Arabidopsis thaliana: one gene and its partners. The protein of the gene in region 3 purifies or fractionates together with the protein of the main gene of each other region. This does not show direct contact. Each region holds a gene or a part of one and is shown on either strand. Other genes may lie near its edges. The genes, in order: LON1, PPR336 and SIM.

What was found.
Region 1: the proteins of SIM (region 3) and LON1 purify together in Arabidopsis thaliana (affinity purification with mass spectrometry, with the first as the bait; one large-scale study listed by BioGRID). This does not show direct contact.
Region 2: the proteins of SIM (region 3) and PPR336 purify together in Arabidopsis thaliana (affinity purification with mass spectrometry, with the first as the bait; one large-scale study listed by BioGRID). This does not show direct contact.

What each region holds. Positions count from the first base shown.
Region 1 is NC_003076.8:9,447,904-9,457,852, forward strand, and holds LON1 (lon protease 1), read left to right. Parts: upstream 1-3,048; 5' UTR 3,049-3,144; coding exon 3,145-3,576; intron 3,577-3,973; coding exon 3,974-4,039; intron 4,040-4,482; coding exon 4,483-4,668; intron 4,669-4,739; coding exon 4,740-4,805; intron 4,806-4,945; coding exon 4,946-4,987; intron 4,988-5,097; coding exon 5,098-5,220; intron 5,221-5,305; coding exon 5,306-5,404; intron 5,405-5,476; coding exon 5,477-5,542; intron 5,543-5,642; coding exon 5,643-5,729; intron 5,730-5,838; coding exon 5,839-5,878; intron 5,879-6,074; coding exon 6,075-6,246; intron 6,247-6,407; coding exon 6,408-6,532; intron 6,533-6,613; coding exon 6,614-6,744; intron 6,745-6,846; coding exon 6,847-6,951; intron 6,952-7,083; coding exon 7,084-7,197; intron 7,198-7,338; coding exon 7,339-7,506; intron 7,507-7,629; coding exon 7,630-7,731; intron 7,732-7,806; coding exon 7,807-8,457; intron 8,458-8,545; coding exon 8,546-8,728; 3' UTR 8,729-9,097; and 1 more. Other genes in the region: AT5G26850 (Uncharacterized protein), read left to right, coding at 1-278, 361-738, 829-978, 1,094-1,172, 1,252-1,376, 1,465-1,656, 1,756-1,890, 1,974-2,099 and 2 more; AT5G26865 (AGAMOUS-like MADS-box protein), read right to left, coding at 9,398-9,778.
Region 2 is NC_003070.9:22,863,756-22,869,959, reverse strand, and holds PPR336 (pentatricopeptide repeat 336), read left to right. Parts: upstream 1-3,293; 5' UTR 3,294-3,407; coding exon 3,408-4,634; 3' UTR 4,635-5,009; downstream 5,010-6,204. Other genes in the region: AT1G61890 (MATE efflux family protein), read left to right, coding at 1-56, 857-913, 1,010-1,248, 1,341-1,459, 1,555-1,641, 1,792-1,857; AT1G61860 (Protein kinase superfamily protein), read left to right, coding at 5,341-5,485, 5,590-5,771, 5,864-6,053, 6,136-6,204.
Region 3 is NC_003076.8:1,265,436-1,270,629, reverse strand, and holds SIM (cyclin-dependent protein kinase inhibitor), read left to right. Parts: upstream 1-3,213; 5' UTR 3,214-3,272; coding exon of another isoform or gene 3,273-3,283; 5' UTR 3,284-3,353; coding exon 3,354-3,737; 3' UTR 3,738-4,005; downstream 4,006-5,194. Other genes in the region: AT5G04475 (uncharacterized protein), read right to left, coding at 3,273-3,283, 3,373-3,610. UniProt on the Arabidopsis thaliana protein: Cyclin-dependent protein kinase (CDK) inhibitor that functions as a repressor of mitosis in the endoreduplication cell cycle. Inhibits the kinase activity of CYCD3-1/CDKA-1, CYCD2-1/CDKA-1 and CYCB1-1/CDKB1-1 complexes in a dose dependent manner.

The DNA of each region.
Region 1 (9,949 bases), 8.2 Mb from region 3:
ACTTGTGTCGCCACCTGAGGAAAAGCTTTCAGGCGACAGCTAGATCAATTGGAGATGAGGAACTCAACTTGAACGTGATGATTCAAAACTCTATTGAAGATTGTCTGCGGGAGATAGCCAAAGGAATTGTTAATACACAGCCCCTGTTCGATATGATGGCTGTTTCAGTCGAGGGTCTTCCTTCTTCAGGAATTGTTTCACGCGCAGCCGTTGGATCACTGTTGATACTTGCACATGCAATGTCTTCAGCATTATCGCCATCTATGCGTTCACAACAGGTGAACTAAAGTTTGTTTGGTCTCTTCTGAGTGTTTAGCATTATCTATAAAGTTTATTTAATTCTTCTTAATTTTCGTACAGGTCTTCCCTGACACACTTCTTGATGCACTTCTAAAAGCAATGCTGCATCCAAATGTGGAAACCCGTGTAGGAGCGCATGAAATATTCTCTGTAATTCTCTTGCAAAGTTCTGGTCAATCTCAGGCTGGACTTGCATCAGTGAGAGCTTCTGGCTATCTTAATGAATCAAGAAACTGGAGGAGTGATACAACCTCTGCGTTCACATCTGTCACTGCTCGTTTAGACAAGCTCAGGAAGGAGAAGGATGGCGTCAAGATTGAGAAGAATGGTTACAATAATACTCACGAGGATCTTAAGAACTACAAATCGTCCCCAAAGTTTCACAAGTTGAATTCCATAATTGATAGGACTGCTGGGTTTATCAATCTAGCTGATATGGTAACATTTTTCCTTGCTTACAATTGGATGTTGTGTGCTAAAGGACCATCATATGTTTATGCAATTGTCTGATACTGTTTGGTGATGCAGTTACCATCGATGATGAAGTTTACGGAAGATCAAATCGGGCAACTGTTATCTGCATTTTGGATACAATCAGCACTTCCTGATATCTTACCTTCAAACATTGAAGCTATTGCTCATTCTTTTAGCTTGGTGCTTCTGTCCTTGCGACTAAAGGTCAACATAAAAGTTTCTCCTCTTTTCTGGCTCTCTTAATATTTCTCTTTCATAGAGGAAGTTTTCACTTTCATGACGCTATACTTAAAGCTTCTCATGATTATTTTAATTACAGAATCCTGATGACGGGCTTGTTGTTCGAGCCTTCCAGCTTCTCTTCTCATTGAGGACTCTTTCGTTGGACCTTAATAACGGTACTGATTGATGAAACTCTCTTAAACTGATCAAAGTTTAAGAAATCGCTTATGTGCAGTCAAACTTTCTCTTTTTCAGGCACATTACCCTCAGTTTGCAAGCGGTTGATCCTTGCTTTATCCACAAGTATGCTGATGTTCGCTGCCAAAATATATCAGATTCCTCATATTTGTGAAATGTTGAAGGCCCAACTTCCTGGTGATGTGAGTTCCCAATGTGTTGTTTCAGTTATTACTTTTATTTTATCCATGGAGATTGTGTATCACTTGATTATATACTCAAAATTTTCAGGTGGATCCTTATCTTTTCATTGGAGATGACTTACAACTTCACGTAAGACCACAGGCAAATATGAAAGATTTTGGGTCCTCAAGCGATAGCCAGATGGCTACTTCAATGCTGTTTGAGATGCGAAGCAAAGTAGAACTGTCCAACACTATTATAACCGATATTGTCGCAAAAAATCTACCTAAACTTTCGAAGGTAAATCTTATATTTTCTGTTTCTTAGTGAACAATACCTTTTAAGCCCCAATGTTCGATTCTCTTGTACTGATTTGATTTTATGTACTCTCTTGTTAAGCTCGAGGAAGCTGATGTGAAGATGCAAATCTTGGAGCAATTTACACCTGATGATGCTTTTATGTTTGGATCAAGGCCAAACATTGAACCTCAACCAAACCAAAGTATCTCTAAGGAATCGCTGTCCTTCGATGAGGTAAACTATTCTCTGAAGTTCCATATTCCATTGGGATTTTGATAATATTCAGAACTGTTAACACTTATGTTTCTTTATTACAGGACATACCTGCCGGTTCAATGGTTGAGGACGAAGTGACGAGTGAACTCTCTGTGCGTTTCCCCCCAAGAGGATCTCCCTCACCATCTATTCCTCAAGTTATCAGCATTGGACAGCTCATGGAATCTGTAAGCATAGACCACATTCGACATAAAGAAGAAACTGGCTGATATATATATTTGTGTCTTCTTATAATTGGTTTGTGATATGTTATCTAGGCGCTTGAGGTCGCTGGTCAAGTGGTTGGGTCATCTGTCTCTACTTCTCCGCTTCCTTATGACACAATGACTAACCGCTGTGAAACCTTTGGGACTGGTACTAGAGAGAAGCTCTCAAGGTGGTTGGCCACTGAGAACCGTCAGATGAATGGGCTCTATGGAAATTCACTTGAGGAATCATCTGCACTTGAGAAGGTACGTAACAGCTGAGTTGGTAAACACATTAGAACTACAAACTGTTAAAATCTGCTATGGTCCTTAGTAATAGTGAGAAAGATCATAACTTTGTGATACCAAATGGGCTGGTTAAGAGAAAGGTAGAAACTTTATCATACGAGGCTTACACGTTGAGACACGTTGTTACAGGTAGTAGAAGATGGGAACATCTATGGGAGAGAATCTGGAATGTTGCAGGATTCATGGTCCATGATGAGACTACCTCCAGCTAGTCCCTTTGACAATTTCCTCAAAGCAGCAGGAGCTGGAAGATGATTCAACTAACTTGATCATATCAATCTCTGTAGAAAGTGTGTAATCTTGTTGTTCTTATTGGATTTGTAGAGAACTAACTTATCTAGGGCCAATCACGATGCTTCTCGTAGTAATCTAGAATCAGTAGTAAGTAATGCTTGTTTCGTTAGGACAAGAATCTCTGTTAGTGTTGTCGTTATAATCAGTAGAGAACCAATGCTATCTAGATTTGTATCAAATTCTCTTCATTACCTTTAAACGCATCATCAAAACAAAATCGAAGATAAAGTTCACAACTTTAAAGGCCACATCTTTTACTAATGGCGGTGAAGCAAACGGCTTTAGTTGGCCGGACCGGTTTGGTTTTCTGATAACCGGAAAATTCAATGAACCGACTCCAAAACGACGTCGTGTTATTGTGAAGGCAAAATGGTGTTGTTCTCTCTGCTGCCTTTAAAATTGGGGTTTTGCTTCGTCGGGGTTTATGAAGGGCTTTGATACTAATCTTCGTCTACAGGCTTCTTCTCCAGAATTCTCCAATGGTTTCTTGCCTAAAAGGCAAAACTTTATAAAACTCAATCGCAGAAATTGTTACCCCAGATCTTCTTTCTCTCCCACCATGTTAAAGCTCTTCACTTCCTCCGCCTCTCGAGTCCACCATTTGACTCCGGTAAGTAGGGTCGTCGGGTCTTCTCCAGTGGAGTCTCCATTGTTCAAAGCGTTGAGTCAAATCACTGGGTGGAATCGGCGATCTACTTCGTTGGGTCATCGTGCTTTCTTCTGCTCTGAGCCTACCAATGGAGAGGCGGCGGCTGAAGCTGAAACTAAGGCGGTGGAGTCCGATTCTGAAGTGTCTGACTCCAAATCTTCGTCTGCGATTGTGCCCACTAACCCTAGGCCTGAAGATTGTTTAACGGTTTGTGTAACTATGGCTTTTTGTTCCTTTCTCTGTGGAAGATTTGTTAGTGCATTTGTATATGCGTTATTGGATCGTTGGCAATCTAATTGTATAGGAAAATTTCAATTCTTGTTGGAATTATTACAAAGTTGTAAACTTTGGTAATAACTGAGTGGATGATGCTTATGAGGTGCTTTACATCTTTGTTGTTCTATTAGTGGAGAAAGTTGAAGCTTCTGATATTGTATGTTGTTCTATGGTGTTTGCTTAGAGCATTTTTGAATCTGTATTTAGTGGTTTGTTGTTAACAGTCAAGCAAAGACTAATTGGATTTTGTGAACATTTTACATTTGATCATTTTCATTTTAGCGGAGTTATGTTTCTCCTGATGGAGTTTTCCGTTGTTTAATTGCAGGTTCTAGCATTGCCGGTGCCACATAGGCCGCTTTTTCCTGGTTTTTACATGCCAATCTATGTCAAGGTATGTCAATTCATCATTTTCTGGCCTTTAAACACTCTCCAAAACTTGGCCTTGTTTGGTTCTCAAAATCTCATTCGATTCTCTTTAAATGGAGCTGAATCTAGCCTTAGAACTAGTACCGATATCTTCTTATTTTGTTCTCAGTAGAGCATGGATCATTGATTACCTAGTTTACAATCAAAAGTGAAGAGAACTTACATATCAGCTGACACCTTCTTTGAAATATCTGCTGTTTGGGTTTCGACATATAGATCAATTTTAGCCGCATTTGATGCAATTTTTTTGATAATTTACCCCATTGTTTATTAATTGTAATCTTCCCCGCCTGGGACAAAATAGCTAAAAACTATTTCCGTTAAACCACAGCGATGACACGATCTTTATAGTTTGGGAGATGTCAGGTTTTGCTTCTCTGACCAGCATGTGCGTTTTCTGGTGTGCAGGATCCTAAAGTACTCGCAGCCTTACAAGAGAGCAGAAGACGACAAGCTCCATATGCAGGAGCTTTCCTTCTGAAGGATGACCCATCAGCTGATTCATCTTCAAGCACTGACGCAGAAAAAAACATAAATGAGCTGAAAGGGAAAGAGTTGCTTAACCGGCTTCACGAAGTTGGCACACTTGCTCAGGTATTGTGTTGCTGCATTTGTTCAAATTAAAAAGCATGACTAGCATTACGATTTCCTTATTGATTTTCCAGATTTCAAGTATCCAAGGAGACCAAGTTATCCTTGTTGGTCACAGGCGACTTCGCATAAAAGAGATGGTAAGTCGGTATAACAGCGTTCGTACTTTGTAGAATTTTCAACCATGAAAGTTCCAAATCCTCGAAAGTACATCTTCACATCTGTTCTTTGGTTGATCAAGACACTTTTGGTTTAAGGGAGAAATTTTTCCTTTATACAGGTGAGCGAAGAACCACTTACCGTCAAAGTCGATCATCTTAAGGTACATTTTTCTGCTTTTAGGCTTTTCCTCTTATAATATGAGACTACTTTGATTTTGCTTTTTCTATTTGAAACTCTGAAGTCAGGAACCTTTTCTTACTCTCTGTGCAGGATAATCCGTTTGACATGGACGATGATGTCGTCAAGGCAACATCTTTTGAAGTTATTTCAACTCTTAGGGATGTACTGAAGACAAGTTCACTATGGAGAGATCACGTTCAGACATATACCCAGGCATGTTCTTGTCATAATTTCACCTGTTCTGGTAAAAAGGTCTCAGGGTACAAGTGTCTTAGTAGATGTCTTTCAACTTGTGTAGCATATAGGTGATTTCACTTATCCACGACTAGCTGATTTTGGAGCGGCGATATGTGGCGCAAATAGGCATCAAGCTCAAGAAGTTCTTGAAGAACTGGATGTAAGGAGCTTCATTATTGTTGTAATTGTATGATTCTTGGTCAATCTCTCATCTCTGTTTTTATTGACCCAGGTTCACAAACGTCTGCGGTTGACGCTGGAATTGATGAAAAAAGAAATGGAAATTAGCAAGATACAGGTACTTCATTCCCTTATTCTTGTGTCTTTCCCACTAAGGGACTACTTATCCGGTAACTGTTTGAATGGGATAAGATTCTTATCTTCTGAGCCTTTTATAGGAAACCATAGCAAAAGCAATTGAAGAAAAAATTAGCGGTGAGCAACGTCGTTACTTGCTAAATGAGCAGCTCAAGGCTATAAAGAAGGTATTACTCAGCCCGCTTCACAAAATATGCTTGCTATTTTCATCCACATACCATGTCTGTGTAATATATATACATATTTGGTTTGATTCATTTAAGTCATCCAATGCAGGAGCTTGGTGTGGAGACAGATGACAAATCTGCACTTTCTGGTCAGTACGAACTTAAAGTCTTAAACTATCTTCAATTACATGTAGTCAGTTTATATCCTAGTTAGAAATTTAGAATTTCACTGCCTCATGGATCACAATGCATTCATGAGACGTCAGTGTCTTTGGTATGAGTTTGGAGAGCCGTGCACTGTTAATTGTATGACAACCACAACTTATAGTCTGTTCTTTACTGCAGCAAAGTTTAAGGAAAGGATTGAGCCTAACAAGGAAAAAATTCCAGCGCATGTATTACAAGTCATAGAAGAAGAGCTTACAAAGCTGCAGCTGTTAGAGGCGAGTTCAAGCGAGTTTAACGTGACGCGTAACTACCTTGATTGGTTGACCATATTGCCTTGGGGAAATTACAGGTTTTTTACTTTTCATATATCTTTTTTTTTTTTTCTGTTTAAGTAAAGCAGTAAGTCTTTTGGTATGAGAGACTGATATAGAGACGGATGAGCTCTCATCTCATGGCACCATTTGTTTTTGTGTTCACTGATTTGAGGAATCTATTTTGTTAAATTTGCAGTAATGAAAACTTTGATGTTGCACGGGCGCAAACAATTCTTGACGAGGATCACTATGGCTTATCTGACGTAAAGGAAAGAATACTGGAATTTATTGCAGTGGGAAGACTTAGAGGCACTTCACAAGGTTTGATACTTATCCAGTAATTGTGATTTGATCTTGTTGAAAAAAACTTGTCCCCTTAAATTTGAGTAAATGTGTCCCCAGGGAAAATCATCTGCCTCTCCGGCCCTCCTGGAGTAGGCAAAACTAGTATTGGGCGGTCTATTGCACGTGCTCTTAATCGCAAATTTTTCCGGTTCTCTGTTGGAGGGTTAGCAGATGTCGCTGAGATCAAGGTATAATACCTTTGTTTTGGTATACTTGCAAATATTAGTCAAACATTTGTGACTGAATTCTTTCCTAGAAACAAAAAACCATTCTTGTAATTACATGTTTAGGGGCATCGTCGGACATATGTTGGCGCCATGCCAGGAAAGATGGTGCAATGTCTAAAGAGTGTGGGGACAGCAAATCCTCTTGTTCTAATCGATGAGATTGATAAGGTAATATATTTTTTGTTTTGATATTTGTCATCATATGGTAGCTTCTTTTATTCATCAGTACAATACTGTTTCAATCTCTAGTTACCAAAGACAAATTTCTCTGCAATAAATTGCTATATTGTTCCTTTGCAGCTGGGGAGAGGCCATGCTGGTGACCCGGCCAGTGCTTTGTTGGAGCTTCTGGATCCAGAGCAAAACGCAAATTTTCTGGACCACTATCTCGACGTTACTATAGATCTATCAAAGGTAATTAAATGTGGTCAAGGACCAAATTTTGTATTTCTTTTCTTCATGATGTTCTGTCCACCAATAGATGGATATGAATACCATTTTGTTTCATGTGATACTAGGCCGATTGAATTTAATTGCTGATCCATTTCCCTACAGGTTTTATTTGTGTGCACAGCAAATGTGATAGACATGATTCCAAATCCTTTGCTAGACAGAATGGAGGTGATTTCTATTGCTGGGTATATCACTGATGAAAAAGTTCATATCGCAAGAGACTATTTGGAAAAAACTGCACGTGGAGATTGTGGTGTCAAGCCTGAACAGGTCTCACTTTCATCCTATTCTCCAATTGTCTCTTCTTTTAACTCTCGGTAAATTAAAATGAGTGAGTGATTATCAATGAATCACATACTTCTAAGATTTCGTCAATTTGTTCGTACTATGCAGGTTGAGGTGAGTGATGCAGCGCTTCTTTCCTTGATAGAAAATTACTGCAGAGAAGCAGGTGTTAGGAATCTCCAGAAACAGATCGAGAAGATTTACCGTAAGGTAAGTTTTGCTACAAGACTCCGAATTGATTCCTCAAGCCCTCAATGTCGAACACCATTTACTTTTCTGTTGTAGATTGCACTTAAATTAGTGCGTGAAGGAGCAGTCCCCGAAGAGCCTGCAGTTGCAAGTGATCCTGAAGAAGCTGAAATCGTGGCTGATGTTGGCGAATCCATAGAGAATCATACTGTCGAAGAAAACACTGTGTCCTCTGCTGAAGAACCAAAGGAAGAGGCCCAAACCGAGAAGATAGCTATTGAAACGGTTATGATTGATGAGTCAAACCTTGCGGATTATGTAGGAAAACCGGTATTCCATGCAGAGAAGCTCTATGAGCAGACACCGGTAGGTGTTGTGATGGGTCTAGCTTGGACATCAATGGGTGGTTCAACATTGTACATAGAGACGACTGTTGTGGAGGAAGGGGAAGGTAAAGGTGGCCTGAATATAACGGGTCAGCTCGGTGATGTGATGAAAGAAAGTGCACAAATTGCTCACACAGTCGCCAGAAAGATCATGCTAGAGAAAGAACCAGAGAATCAGTTCTTTGCAAACTCCAAGCTTCATCTCCATGTTCCTGCAGGAGCCACTCCCAAGGATGGTCCAAGTGCAGGCTGCACCATGATCACATCTTTACTATCACTTGCCACGAAGAAACCCGTTAGGAAGGACCTTGCAATGACTGGAGAAGTCACACTAACCGGAAGAATTCTTCCTATTGGTGGGGTAAGTAACTCCGGACTTCTCTCACTCTATTCTATTAGAGCCTCTCTTTTTTTTTCCTTTTTTGACAATGTACACAAAAATGTTACAGGTGAAAGAGAAAACTATAGCGGCGAGGCGGAGTCAGATTAAAACAATAATATTTCCAGAGGCAAACCGGAGAGACTTTGATGAGCTGGCAGAGAATGTGAAAGAAGGGCTTAATGTTCACTTCGTGGATGACTATGGAAAGATCTTCGAGCTTGCCTTTGGCTATGACAAACAAGAAGACTGAGAACACACATAAGCCACGTTGACCTTTTGTCATCTGTTGTTGTCTCCATTTAAACAACACTACCATTCTTGATTCTCTTTGATCTTTTTCTTCCTTCAAGAAGAAAGTTATTCTGTAACTTTTTTTTTATGATTAGGGTAATTTATTGGTGGTTGGATTTTATTATTTTGGTATATAACCAAAGCCAAATATCATAATAAGACATCAGAACAAAGTAAAAAAAACAAAGTTGTTTCTCATTTTGTGCTTGTAATTTCATCAACATATTCGCGTATTACTTTCACTGTTGCTATGTGTTCGATCACACTTCATAACAGACTAGTAACTTGTTGGCATAATTTTCTGTTTTATATTCCTTTCTACTGGATTAGATGATGGGTAATTTGACTATTAAACTATGTAATGAAATGTATATATATTCTTAGTTCGTACTCAGACAAAAATAGGATTGAGAAGATAGCATTCATACTTAGGAAAAACATACAATTCAACACAAACTCTTCATCAGACAATTAACCTCATATAATCTGATATCTGAAGTAGAAACAGAGGCACGGACTTGATAGAAGCTACAGTTGTCATGGTTATAGAGAAAGACTGAAAATTTGCTCTGATGTTGACTCAATGGTGACGTCGATAGGTCTTGCTCTGTGTTTGACACACCGATATTCACCAATGGTTCTGTCCATTGTTGATGACGGGGATCTGACCTAACTCGGTCTGGTTTTTCTCGGGTTGTAGTAACAGAAGCTTATCTTGTAGTACCCGTAGACCACTTTCTAATGAATCCTTCATCTCTAAGACTTTCTCCGAGAGCTTACTGTTGTCGAGGATCTTCTTACGTAGAAACAGAGAAAGGTTGGTTCTTTTCTTGCGTCGCTCTCTCTCGTGTAGTTTGCTAAACCTCTCTGCCATGTCTCGAACCTTGGATTGATCCTCCGGCCATGTCTTGATGAGTTCTCCGTCACGACTATAAAGTATGACACAGACTTCGATATCGCACAGAGTTGAAAGCTCGAGGGCTTTCTTAAACATTGTATCTTCTCTCATAGACAAGTTTGGTTTCTTCTCACAGAAAATTTGGTTTTCTTCTTGACATCGAAGAATCTATTGTGATGTTTTGTTTACACAGAGATAGGAAAAAAATTAAGCTTTTAGCTTGTTCTCAAAGAGAAAATAAACTCTGAAGGAGAGAATTGGGATACAGATACAATAGGGTTT
Region 2 (6,204 bases), on a different chromosome or scaffold from region 3:
TTACTCGCCGGACTTCTCAAGAACCCTGAGCTTGCTTTGGATTCTCTTGCTATCTGGTACAATTTTCTAACTTCTAATTATTTTTTCATTCAAAGTGATTTGATTCTTTACCTTTTGAGACGTAATAACATAAGGACATAAATTGCAAAAAGAGAAAAGTAAAATTGAGTAACGTCTAAAATCTAGTAAAAGGGTCTATGAAATTTAGCAGGAAACTTTGCTTTTAAAGTCGGAAAGTGTATCTTTTCAAAACAATTTCCATTTTAATACTACAATTAACTATGATGACAAATCATTTGTAGCATCTTTAGCCAAAAACAATAATATAGTTTGTCGTATTAAGGTGACTCAAATTTAACTAGTGTAGTGGTCAAGTAGTATTCAAATTTAAATTTAACTTTTTTTCATTAAAAACAATTTGATTTCTTTCTGTTTTTTGGTTTAACAATTTTATTTCTTACCTTTTGAGACTTAATAACATAAATTGCAGAAAGAGAAATTTATTTTCATTTAAAATTGTCCATGAATATTAGCTGTAAATTTGTTTATTTCCATGTTTGTTATAATCTGACATATGACAAATCATTTGTCGCATTATGGTGTGACACAAATGTAATTATTGTAGTGGTTAAGTATTTAAAGTGCTTTATGATTTCTTTCTTTCTGAAGAAGTCGAAAATGACGACTCCTCACCTCGTTACGTCTTTTTCAGTTTCAGTAGAAGATCTATAAGTTTTTGTCGTCACTTTGTCGTTTTGTTAGAGTTCTTACCGCATGTCGTTTCCATTGACTAGAAACGGCATACACTTGCACAAACCAGTTGTCGAAAACTCATTTTTTTGTTTTGTTTTTGCAGCATGTCAATTTCTGCAATCTCATTCATGGTCTCCGTTGGATTCAACGCAGCTGCAAGGTTGGTAACAAAACTAACATTATTCACTCCAAACTATAGTTATTGTTTTGCTCCTTATGGTTTACTAATAATACACTTTTTTCAATTTATGTGTAGTGTGAGAGTAAGCAACGAGCTAGGAGCCGGAAACCCGAGAGCAGCCGCGTTCTCCACAGTCGTGACAACGGGAGTATCATTCTTACTATCGGTTTTCGAAGCCATCGTGGTCTTATCGTGGCGTCACGTCATCAGCTATGCGTTTACTGATAGTCCAGCAGTGGCTGAGGCCGTTGCGGATTTATCTCCCTTTTTAGCCATCACAATTGTCCTCAATGGAATTCAGCCTGTTTTGTCCGGTATAAAAAAAACCCCCACATTTCACACAAATCGTTATACATCATTAATAAACGTACTAAAAACTGAAATTAATTTGATGTACAATATTTAGGTGTGGCTGTTGGATGTGGATGGCAAGCATTTGTTGCGTACGTAAACATTGGATGTTACTACGTTGTGGGGATTCCAGTGGGATTCGTTCTTGGCTTCACTTATGATATGGGAGCTAAGGTAAATTTTTTCTCATGTAAATTTGGTTACAATAATTGTACCTTATTAAATAATAATAGCTGTAATATTTAATGTGTGTGTTTGATATGGTGCAGGGAATATGGACTGGGATGATTGGTGGTACTTTAATGCAAACAATAATCTTAGTGATTGTCACTTTACGAACTGATTGGGACAAAGAGGTAAATTATTTTTATTTTTTTAATCTAGGAGCATTTTTAGGTTTATAATGAAAAGTTTTATGCACAAATCTTTGTATGAGTTTTGGTAGATATGATAATGATGGAATTCAATGAATCGTGGTATTAATCTAAATTTATTTTGTAATTTAGGTTGAGAAAGCTTCGAGCAGATTGGACCAGTGGGAAGAGAGCCGTGAGCCGCTTTTGAAGCAATAAATAAATTAATGAAATGATTTGTTTATTTTTATTTTTTTTGGGAGTTTTGAGGTCAGATTGAAATCAAAATTTTTGTTTCCCCGAAATATGGCGATAGATGATCACTTGTAAGATGCATATTCAATTGTTAAACTCTCGTTTTTCAATCGAAAAATGTATATCGCTTTGTTATTTAATGACTTGGAAATTTGAGTTTTTTTTTTGGTTTCTTGGTGTTGTGGGAGTTTTTTTTTTGATGGACATTTGAGATTAGAATATATAGGAGCAAAGTTGAAAGTTTATTTCAGTGTATGATTGTATATGAAAATAAAGAGTGAGTTGTTTCTTCTTACCAACTTCTGTCAGTTTTTAGCTAAAAGTTGAAGAAGAAAGGGTATCTTTTCAACGTCTGATTAATAGGAGTTAGGACCAAATACAATGGCCCAATCACTTCCCTAAATTAAATGAATCCAACCATCGAGAGTTGGAGTTTTAATTAATTCCATAAGTTAAACTGGCAATGGACAATAAAATATGTGGTCCTAACATTACTGAATCTAAGAGGAAAAACCAATCTTACTATGAAAAGAAAACCAATCACAAGCGTATCAAATGCATCAGCTAAACCTTAAGAAAACACCATCTTCCATCTATCTTCTCTGGTGTCGGATCCTGCACAAGACAAAGCTGTGATCATCGCAAAGGGAATAATACTGAGTCATGAACCAAGTATACTTCCATAGGAATTACAATTCTGTTTCTTGCGGTACACGAAACTCTCCCTGTAACCTATCAACATCTCGGCTTCGTCAACGATCGGAAATTTCCAATCAATGGGTCTCCAAGTGCCGCCTTCGCTCTCTCCGTTTATTGCGGGTACTTTGCGATCTTGCGGTCTATTCGTCCCATCCTTGTCTACTCGGAATAAAATAGAACCACTCTCTAAAACTTGAAGAAAGGATGTGGTGTTACGTGTTGAAGAAGCCACAACTCGACTTGGTACAATCTCTTATGGAGCTGTTTTGCCCCTTTTCAACCTTATTTCGAAGATAGTCTCTCACCAGTTGAAAATCGCTTGGATTGAACACTGAACCAATCTGATTAGTCCCCTTATTTCTAGCCTTGGACCGTTGTAAGATCGAGAAATTAAAGTAGAAAAAAGTAGTTTATGGGAAGCGTATGCGTGTGTGACTTATTCATCACCAGATTTGTCACCTCAACCGCAGCAACCATTCGCACCATAATACAATTTATCTTCTGCAATATATATAAGTTAGAGAGACTATTAATTACCGGATCCGTGGCGCAATGGTAGCGCGTCTGACTCCAGATCAGAAGGTTGCGTGTTCGATTCACGTCGGGTTCAATTCCCCGAACAAATCCGGATCTCAACTTTTTTAATTTTCGTTTTCATCTCAACCGTCCATTGTGAAGACTTTTAAAATACCCATCAACGGCTATGATTAGATTTTACACAACACAAAAACCCTAACAATCCCTAATTCTCCAGTCTCCGTCTTCTTCTTCATTTCACAGTCATCTTCTTCATCTAAAACCCTAAGAAAACAACAATGGCGTTACTCTCTCGAATCCGTTCATCAACATCTCTCTTCCGTCACCTCAACGCATCACCACAAATCCGATCACTCTCCTCGGCTTCAACAATCCTCTCACCAGATTCAAAAACTCCTCTCACAAGCAAAGAAAAAAGCAAAGCAGCTCTCTCTCTTCTCAAATCCGAGAAAGATCCAGATCGTATCCTCGAAATCTGCCGTGCAGCTTCTCTTACTCCAGATTGCCGCATAGATCGAATCGCTTTCTCCGCCGCCGTCGAGAATCTCGCCGAGAAGAAACATTTCTCCGCTGTATCGAATCTCCTCGACGGATTCATCGAAAACAGACCAGATCTCAAATCGGAACGTTTTGCTGCTCACGCCATTGTTTTGTATGCTCAAGCTAATATGCTTGATCACTCTTTAAGAGTTTTTCGTGATCTCGAGAAATTCGAAATCTCTCGTACGGTGAAGTCTTTAAACGCGCTTCTCTTTGCTTGTTTAGTAGCTAAGGATTACAAAGAAGCTAAAAGAGTTTACATTGAGATGCCTAAGATGTATGGAATTGAACCTGATCTCGAGACTTATAATCGTATGATCAAAGTGTTTTGTGAATCCGGTTCAGCGAGTTCGTCGTACTCCATTGTTGCGGAGATGGAGAGGAAAGGGATAAAGCCGAATAGTTCAAGCTTTGGTTTGATGATTTCTGGGTTTTATGCAGAGGATAAGAGTGATGAAGTAGGGAAAGTGTTGGCGATGATGAAAGATCGTGGTGTTAATATCGGTGTTTCGACTTATAACATTAGGATTCAGAGTTTGTGTAAGAGGAAGAAATCTAAGGAAGCGAAGGCTTTGCTTGATGGGATGTTATCTGCAGGGATGAAACCGAATACGGTAACGTATAGCCATTTGATTCACGGGTTTTGTAATGAAGATGATTTCGAGGAAGCGAAGAAGTTGTTTAAGATTATGGTGAACAGAGGATGTAAGCCTGATAGTGAGTGTTACTTCACTCTTATATATTACTTATGCAAAGGAGGAGACTTTGAGACGGCTTTGAGTCTTTGTAAAGAGAGTATGGAGAAGAATTGGGTTCCGAGTTTTAGTATCATGAAGTCGCTTGTTAACGGACTAGCTAAGGATTCGAAAGTCGAAGAAGCAAAGGAGCTTATTGGGCAAGTGAAAGAGAAGTTCACTAGAAACGTTGAGTTGTGGAACGAAGTCGAAGCCGCATTACCGCAATGAATCAAAAGATAGTTCCCGAGATCGGTATTTTCAAAATTTTACGAATTTTCTCTCTTCATTTGTCAGCAATGAAATAAGTTTATATCTTCTTAGAAGATAGTAATCTTTTGCTCATCATGGTAGCTATAGATTAATGGTTTATCTTGTTAGTTTTTGGATTTGGAATCAGAGAGATGTTGAGCAGTTTATCTGTAAGATTTGGTCAAAGCATTGTAGCAATGTTAAGTGTCTTCCTATGTTTATATTATATAGTATGATGACTATATAATATAGAAAGAAGTTTAATGTTTACATGCTTACCACGAACTAATGTGTTTTGGAGTAAAGATTTGATTGGAAGTTTGTTAAAAGAGAGAGACGCGTTGGCTTATTCACGAACAGAGAAGAGAACCCTAAAAATAAGAAAAAGAAGAATAATCCTTTTATCCAAATTTGAGAGATGGGAACATTCATATATAACAATAAGAGAGAGCAAAACTTTGTGATCGTCCCCTAAATTCTCGTGTCATGCAACATCATTTTCCTGGGAAAGATCTGATCTTTCTTTCAGATTCGTTTTGCCCAGACAGGGTTTGGATCTGAAAGGATCGGTAAGAGAGACAAGATCGAATCTTTCCTTGGGGGATTCATTACAAAGGATTTGTTTTTGTCTGAAGAATCAAGAACAGAAAAGAAAAAACAAACAGAGGAAGGAAGAAGAAGGAAAATGATGAAGCTTTGTCCTTGTTTCATCAACCCGCATCAGCTTGGACCTAATTCGCCTAGAGATTCATTTGACGAAGGTCTTACAGCTTATAGAGGCCATAGCCGTAAACTTTTTGCACTGTTCACATTTCGCTCACATCGGAAAGGTATTCGTAAACGTTGTCTCTTCTTCATCTAACTCAATCTTCTCAAAGATTTGATCACATATCATTTGGTTTCTGAAAATGTTTATGAACATTGATAAATGCAGGAAGCTGCAGGCAGAAGTATATAACGGAAGAGATAAAGAAGTATGGGAACGTGAAGAACTGCGGTCGAATCTTCAAATTCAAGGAGCTAATAGCTGCAACCGACAATTTCAGCATGGATTGTATGATTGGTGAAGGCGGTTTTGGAAGAGTCTACAAAGGGTTTCTCACCAGCCTCAATCAGGTCCTTTTCAATCTCTCAAAACTTCTATGTAAGTGTGTGAAATTTGGCGAAAAGTTGCTAATTTTTGTTTGATTGAATGATGAGAAGTTTAGGTGGTGGCTGTAAAGAGGCTTGATAGGAATGGGTTGCAAGGAACAAGAGAGTTCTTTGCAGAAGTAATGGTATTGAGTCTGGCTCAACATCCAAACCTTGTCAATCTCATTGGCTATTGCGTCGAAGACGAGCAACGAGTCCTCGTTTATGAATTCATGCCTAACGGATCTTTGGAAGATCATTTGTTCGGTAAAGATTGTGACCTTCTCATGTTATATCATCAAAGCTTTTGCATTGTAATCTAAAGTTTTAATCTTTCTTCACTACATAGACTTACCAGAAGGGTCACCAAGTCTAGACTGGTTCACCAGAATGCGGATAGTGCACGGAGCAGCGAAAG
Region 3 (5,194 bases):
TTTTGGTATCCTATGAAAAAGGACACCAAATGAAATCTACTTCGGAAGATTTATAAATGGAAGAAGAAAAATAAAACATATTATATATATTACTTTGTTTATGGTAGGAAGTTTTGATGTTTGTGAAGAAAGTTGGAACACAAATGTATGAGAAGATCTTATAAGCTTCAAATTTTCTTGATTATATAATTATATCGCCTCCACATGTTAACCAAATATATATCATCGAACAAAATGTTTTTGAGGTTAGTTGTTTTTATTTAAAATTCAGCTTTTTAGTTAACATATTGGATAAATATAAACATTTTGATGTAAATTTTGTCACATTCTATTTGCAAGACTGTTAATTGTAATGATATTTTATATTGGAGTTTATTTTATTTTCTTTTTTCAAAGTTAGTTTTTTTCTCTTCTTTTGGTCGTGTGTATCAATGTATAATGTATATAGGTTTGGACATTTGTATAAGAGACAATCGGATATGAAGCATAAACATCCAAGAGAGGACCATCATGATCGTTATCCACTTGGTATCGATGATCGATCGGTTACTTAATAAAAAAATAGTATTCGGAACAATTTTGGGAAAATAGCTTGATGTTATTATAAGGATACATTAATACATTATTAGGGAGACATGCACGTTACGTTTTACTTGCTTCCCTTGTCTCCATCGTACTTTACAACAAATAAAATATTAAACAAACTAATGCATACTAACTCAACCACGTATGAATTGTATAATGTATTCATGTCATGTCAACCACGTAAATATAATATGATATTGAGGATTTTCTACATCCATTCTTGTTTTTATCGAGTAGTAGCTAGCTAGTTTTTTTTGTTCATAGATCTACTCGCGTAAAACTGAAACCAAAAGTATCTTTGTGTAAATAGTTTCGCTTTCATATATCGTGTCATATTCGAAATTCTTGTCAAACCGGCACTCAATTTTAAACCTACCGGTTACGCTAATGTGTATGTGACTATGTGTTACTTAAGTATCGTATACATCATCATATACAGATTAGAAGAATATTTTTAATCTACTCTTAGATATAAGGCTAGACTGCTAGAGTAGTAATACCAAATGGTCCAAAATCTTCAACAAAAACTTACGAAAAGTTTAAATCACGAACGCTTGAGTAACAACAAACGTTTATTTTGTTGTCAACAACTAAAGTTGTTCAAAAAGATTTACCGAAAAAAAAAAAAGTTGTTCAAAAAGATTGATCGAAAAAAGTGGTCCCGAAATACCAAACCCATAAGGCCATAACATAAAAATACTGTCCAAGCATTTCTGCGTAAAGAAAATGTAAAAAAAAATATATGGTAAAAAAGAAAAATAAAACAAATTGTAATTATATATGAAAAAATAGTAATATAAATATTAAAGTAAAAATGAAAAAAAAAAAAAAAAAAAAAAAGACGGTGAGAGACTGAGAAAAAGATCAGTGAGATTGTTTCTTTTTCTGTACCTTTTTTTTTTGGGCTTTCACTGTCTGATAATGGCAGTCGCATCCATCCACAGATCAACCCTACATCACACTACATGCCTCCTCTAAATTCGACACGTGGCATTTCTTTAGATGATAGATTCTCTGTACACTAAATTACCTTAATACCTTTGTAACTAAAGTCTGGATATACACTGCATACATCATGTATAAGCTGACTTCTAGATTCAAATTTAACTATATAGTTGTTTTCTTGAAATATGATTATTGGCATGAGGAGTCTGTTGTAAGTAAATTAAAAAAAAACATGATTAAAACGAACGTGTAGATGTCGTGCGGATAAAAGTTAATATCATAGTCAATAGTATCATTAAAAGATATACCAATGGAATCTTACTTAATAAAATTATGCTACTTTCTCTGCAATGGAATCTTGGTTAATTTAAAAGAGAATAAATAAGATTAAACCGACTGCAATTATATCCCAGATCGTAGTTATAAACATATTTTAACATAATTTTGTATAATTTGACAAAATATGTATATATGTTAAATATGCATGTAATTGATACATCATGCATGTACAAAAACTCTAAAGTCTATACACATGACATGTCTCTAGTTTCCTTAGCGGTACACGACATAAATTCTAACCAACCTCTACGTTTAGATCTAGATTAAAAACTTTGAGGTAAAATTTGAATCTCTTTATATATCTGCCTCATTTTTTATATGATTTTCATTTTTCATTAATATAAACTATTTTTTTATATAAATATAAACTATCTATTATGTACTTCAACTAAACATATGCATGTTACTGGTTGATTATTTTTTCTAAACATATGCATGTTGCTACTTTTTTTTTATTTTGAACAAATGCATGTTACTACTTTAACCAAACAAATTTGCATGTAAACAGGATACCAAAAATAATATTTTGATTTCTTTTTATATCCTTCTAAAAACTAAATTATATGCGTGCATGTTAAGTCTACATTCGGATTGATAGAAGTTTGATATTTTTTAAAAAAAATATGTTCTTTGAATATTTTTGTTAAAGTAAATTAATTCTATATAGGTTCCCTCTTCCTTGATTTGATTCTTCTTTTTTAAGTGGATGTAACTCTCAATCTAAAAATATGAATATATACCCTCTTTTCTACATTTTCTTTTCTTTTATTTCATTTTGGAAAGATGACTTTTCTATCTTTCGGTATATATATAGATGCATATACTGTTTTCTCTACAGTAGAAAACAACTGAATTTTATCTTAAAAACTTATATTCTTTGCTTCCTCTTTTTTTTTTTTTTTTTGTCTAAAATATTCTTTGCTTCCTCTATTGAATTTTCTTTACTGTCTAGCTTTTTAAGCTTCATGTAACACACGTTTTTTTTATTATTGGTTCGTTAATAAAACATAACCCAATATATAAAAGATACAATTTCTTTTTACTGACATGAAAAATAGGCACTATGAATTCCTTACTTATTTCAGTAAATTTTTCGTTGTTTAAATATGCATGTAAGAAATTCCATTACATCACTATTTCCTCAAAATATATGTTTTCATTATTTTTAAAAGATTGTAAGGAAGCTTTCACTAATAGTAATGGATTAACTTGGCATGTGGCTTACTTTTATCTATCAAATGTAAATGAAGAGAAGTAGCAGTAGTGTGGATTTATTTCTATCATCGCTTATCTTTCTAATTATATTAAAGATAAACACATATACAACCAAAAAGGCATGTATGTAAAGACAGAAGCACATATATATAAGAAACCCACAAGTCCACTTCTCTAAGAAGATTTGTTCAGGCACACGCTAAAACACACAAACAAAAAAACAACTCTTCAAGAACATATACATTTAATATTTATATAAACAAAAAAGAATGGATCTTGATTTAATACAAGATCTGCCCATCTTGAATTTCCCACCAGCCATCAAGATCCGAGCCAACACCAACAGAGATGATGACGGCGGCGGCTGCACCACTCCCACTTCTTCCGACCACAAGATTCCTCCCACCACAGCCACCACTCCTCCTCCTCCACCGCAGAAACCCCGTCCACCTTCCACACCGTCGTCTCTCGGCATCAGATCTTGCAAGAGAAAGCTTATGACGTCATTGTCCAAGTATGAGATCATCGTCAACAAAGATGAGATCGAGCGGTTCTTCTCCTCTGTTTACAACCAAACGATGGCGTCATCCACCACGACGGCTATCACGGTGGCCAAGCGGCGAAGAAGTTTCCGTTCTTGTTCACGAAGATGATCAATAATTGGACGTTTCATTAAAGGTTCCATAATTTCGAATAGCTTTTTCGATTTTTATTTATTTTTATGTAATGTTTTTATCAACTTTACACGTCGACCCACTCTATAAATATACATGTGCGATCGATCGATGGAATCTTTTTTTCTTTACTAAAATTTGCTAGCTGTTTTGATAACGAATGACCAAATTCCAGTAGTTTTATTGACATCGTAAATATATTTCCAGCGAGAGGCACATGCACAAGTATGTATATCATCTTTTGGATAAAAGAAAAAACCTATATATATCGACTGATGAAAGTTGTGAAACTGAACAATGAAATCCTATAGCATTTACTTTATTTAGTGGCCAAAAAGTACATTTTCATCATTAGCTGATCGATGTACTTTCTTAATAAGGATATATGAATCTCTTGAATTGATCAATAGTTTGAATTATGAAATTTTGTGTCATGGGTTATGATGATAACTATTAATTATATAAAAGTAACAATTTCAAAACACTGAGATATCACGAACAAAAGGAGAGAAAATGAGTTGCCTTTGCAAGCAATTATTTTTGTCGGCCACGATATATTTCTATTATGTGTTACCATGTTGCGCATAATTATGGCTTCCGATCCAATTAACATAAGCATAATTATGATGGTAGCTAGTAAGAAAATTAAAACAAAATATAATCAATATGGCACCATCTTTAAGGTTATGAAAAGTTAGAAAGGTAATTATATTCAAAGTTTTGAAAATAAGTTAATCAGGTTCAAAAAAAGAAGAAGAAGTAGTTAGTCAGGTTACAACAAAGTAATAAAGTTCAAAAGAATGATAATTAACGGATGGTTTAGGTGTTGATGTGATTTGGACCATTTGGTTGATGAGATTATGTAAATAGTTGCGTGACTTACGTGTGCTTGTGTAAGAAGCCACGAGAGAGCTAATGATGCCTTGATCCAACTATTTAAATTAATACTATTATATAAACTGAATAGAAAATAGATTGTTGCTTATATTGCAAGCTAATTAATTAAAGTAATATTGTAATCAAACAAAGTTGATCGGAAATTCATGTTGATCTCTGACATTTTTGGGCCGACAACTAGAGCGATAAATACGGCTTTGGGATCTGTAAATTAATGTAATTTAATGAAAATTTAATGTTATGGATGACGTCTTGAAGAAAATTAATCTAATATTCATTAGGGGTGCCCATTCGTCACGTACTCGGAAAATCGGTTACCAATTAATAAGTTTACATGTTGAAAAATATTTGATTATATATTAGTACTATTTCTTACATAATAGTTCATTTTGCATTACTCTGGTTCTGTTGAAACATTATTCTAACCAATACATATGCTTTGAAGCTTAATCTCTTAACTCTTTTAACTGCCATTTTTGGACAAAAAGTTGAGTTGATCTACCAATATGTTTTAAGGATTTCATAAATTCCTTAGATAT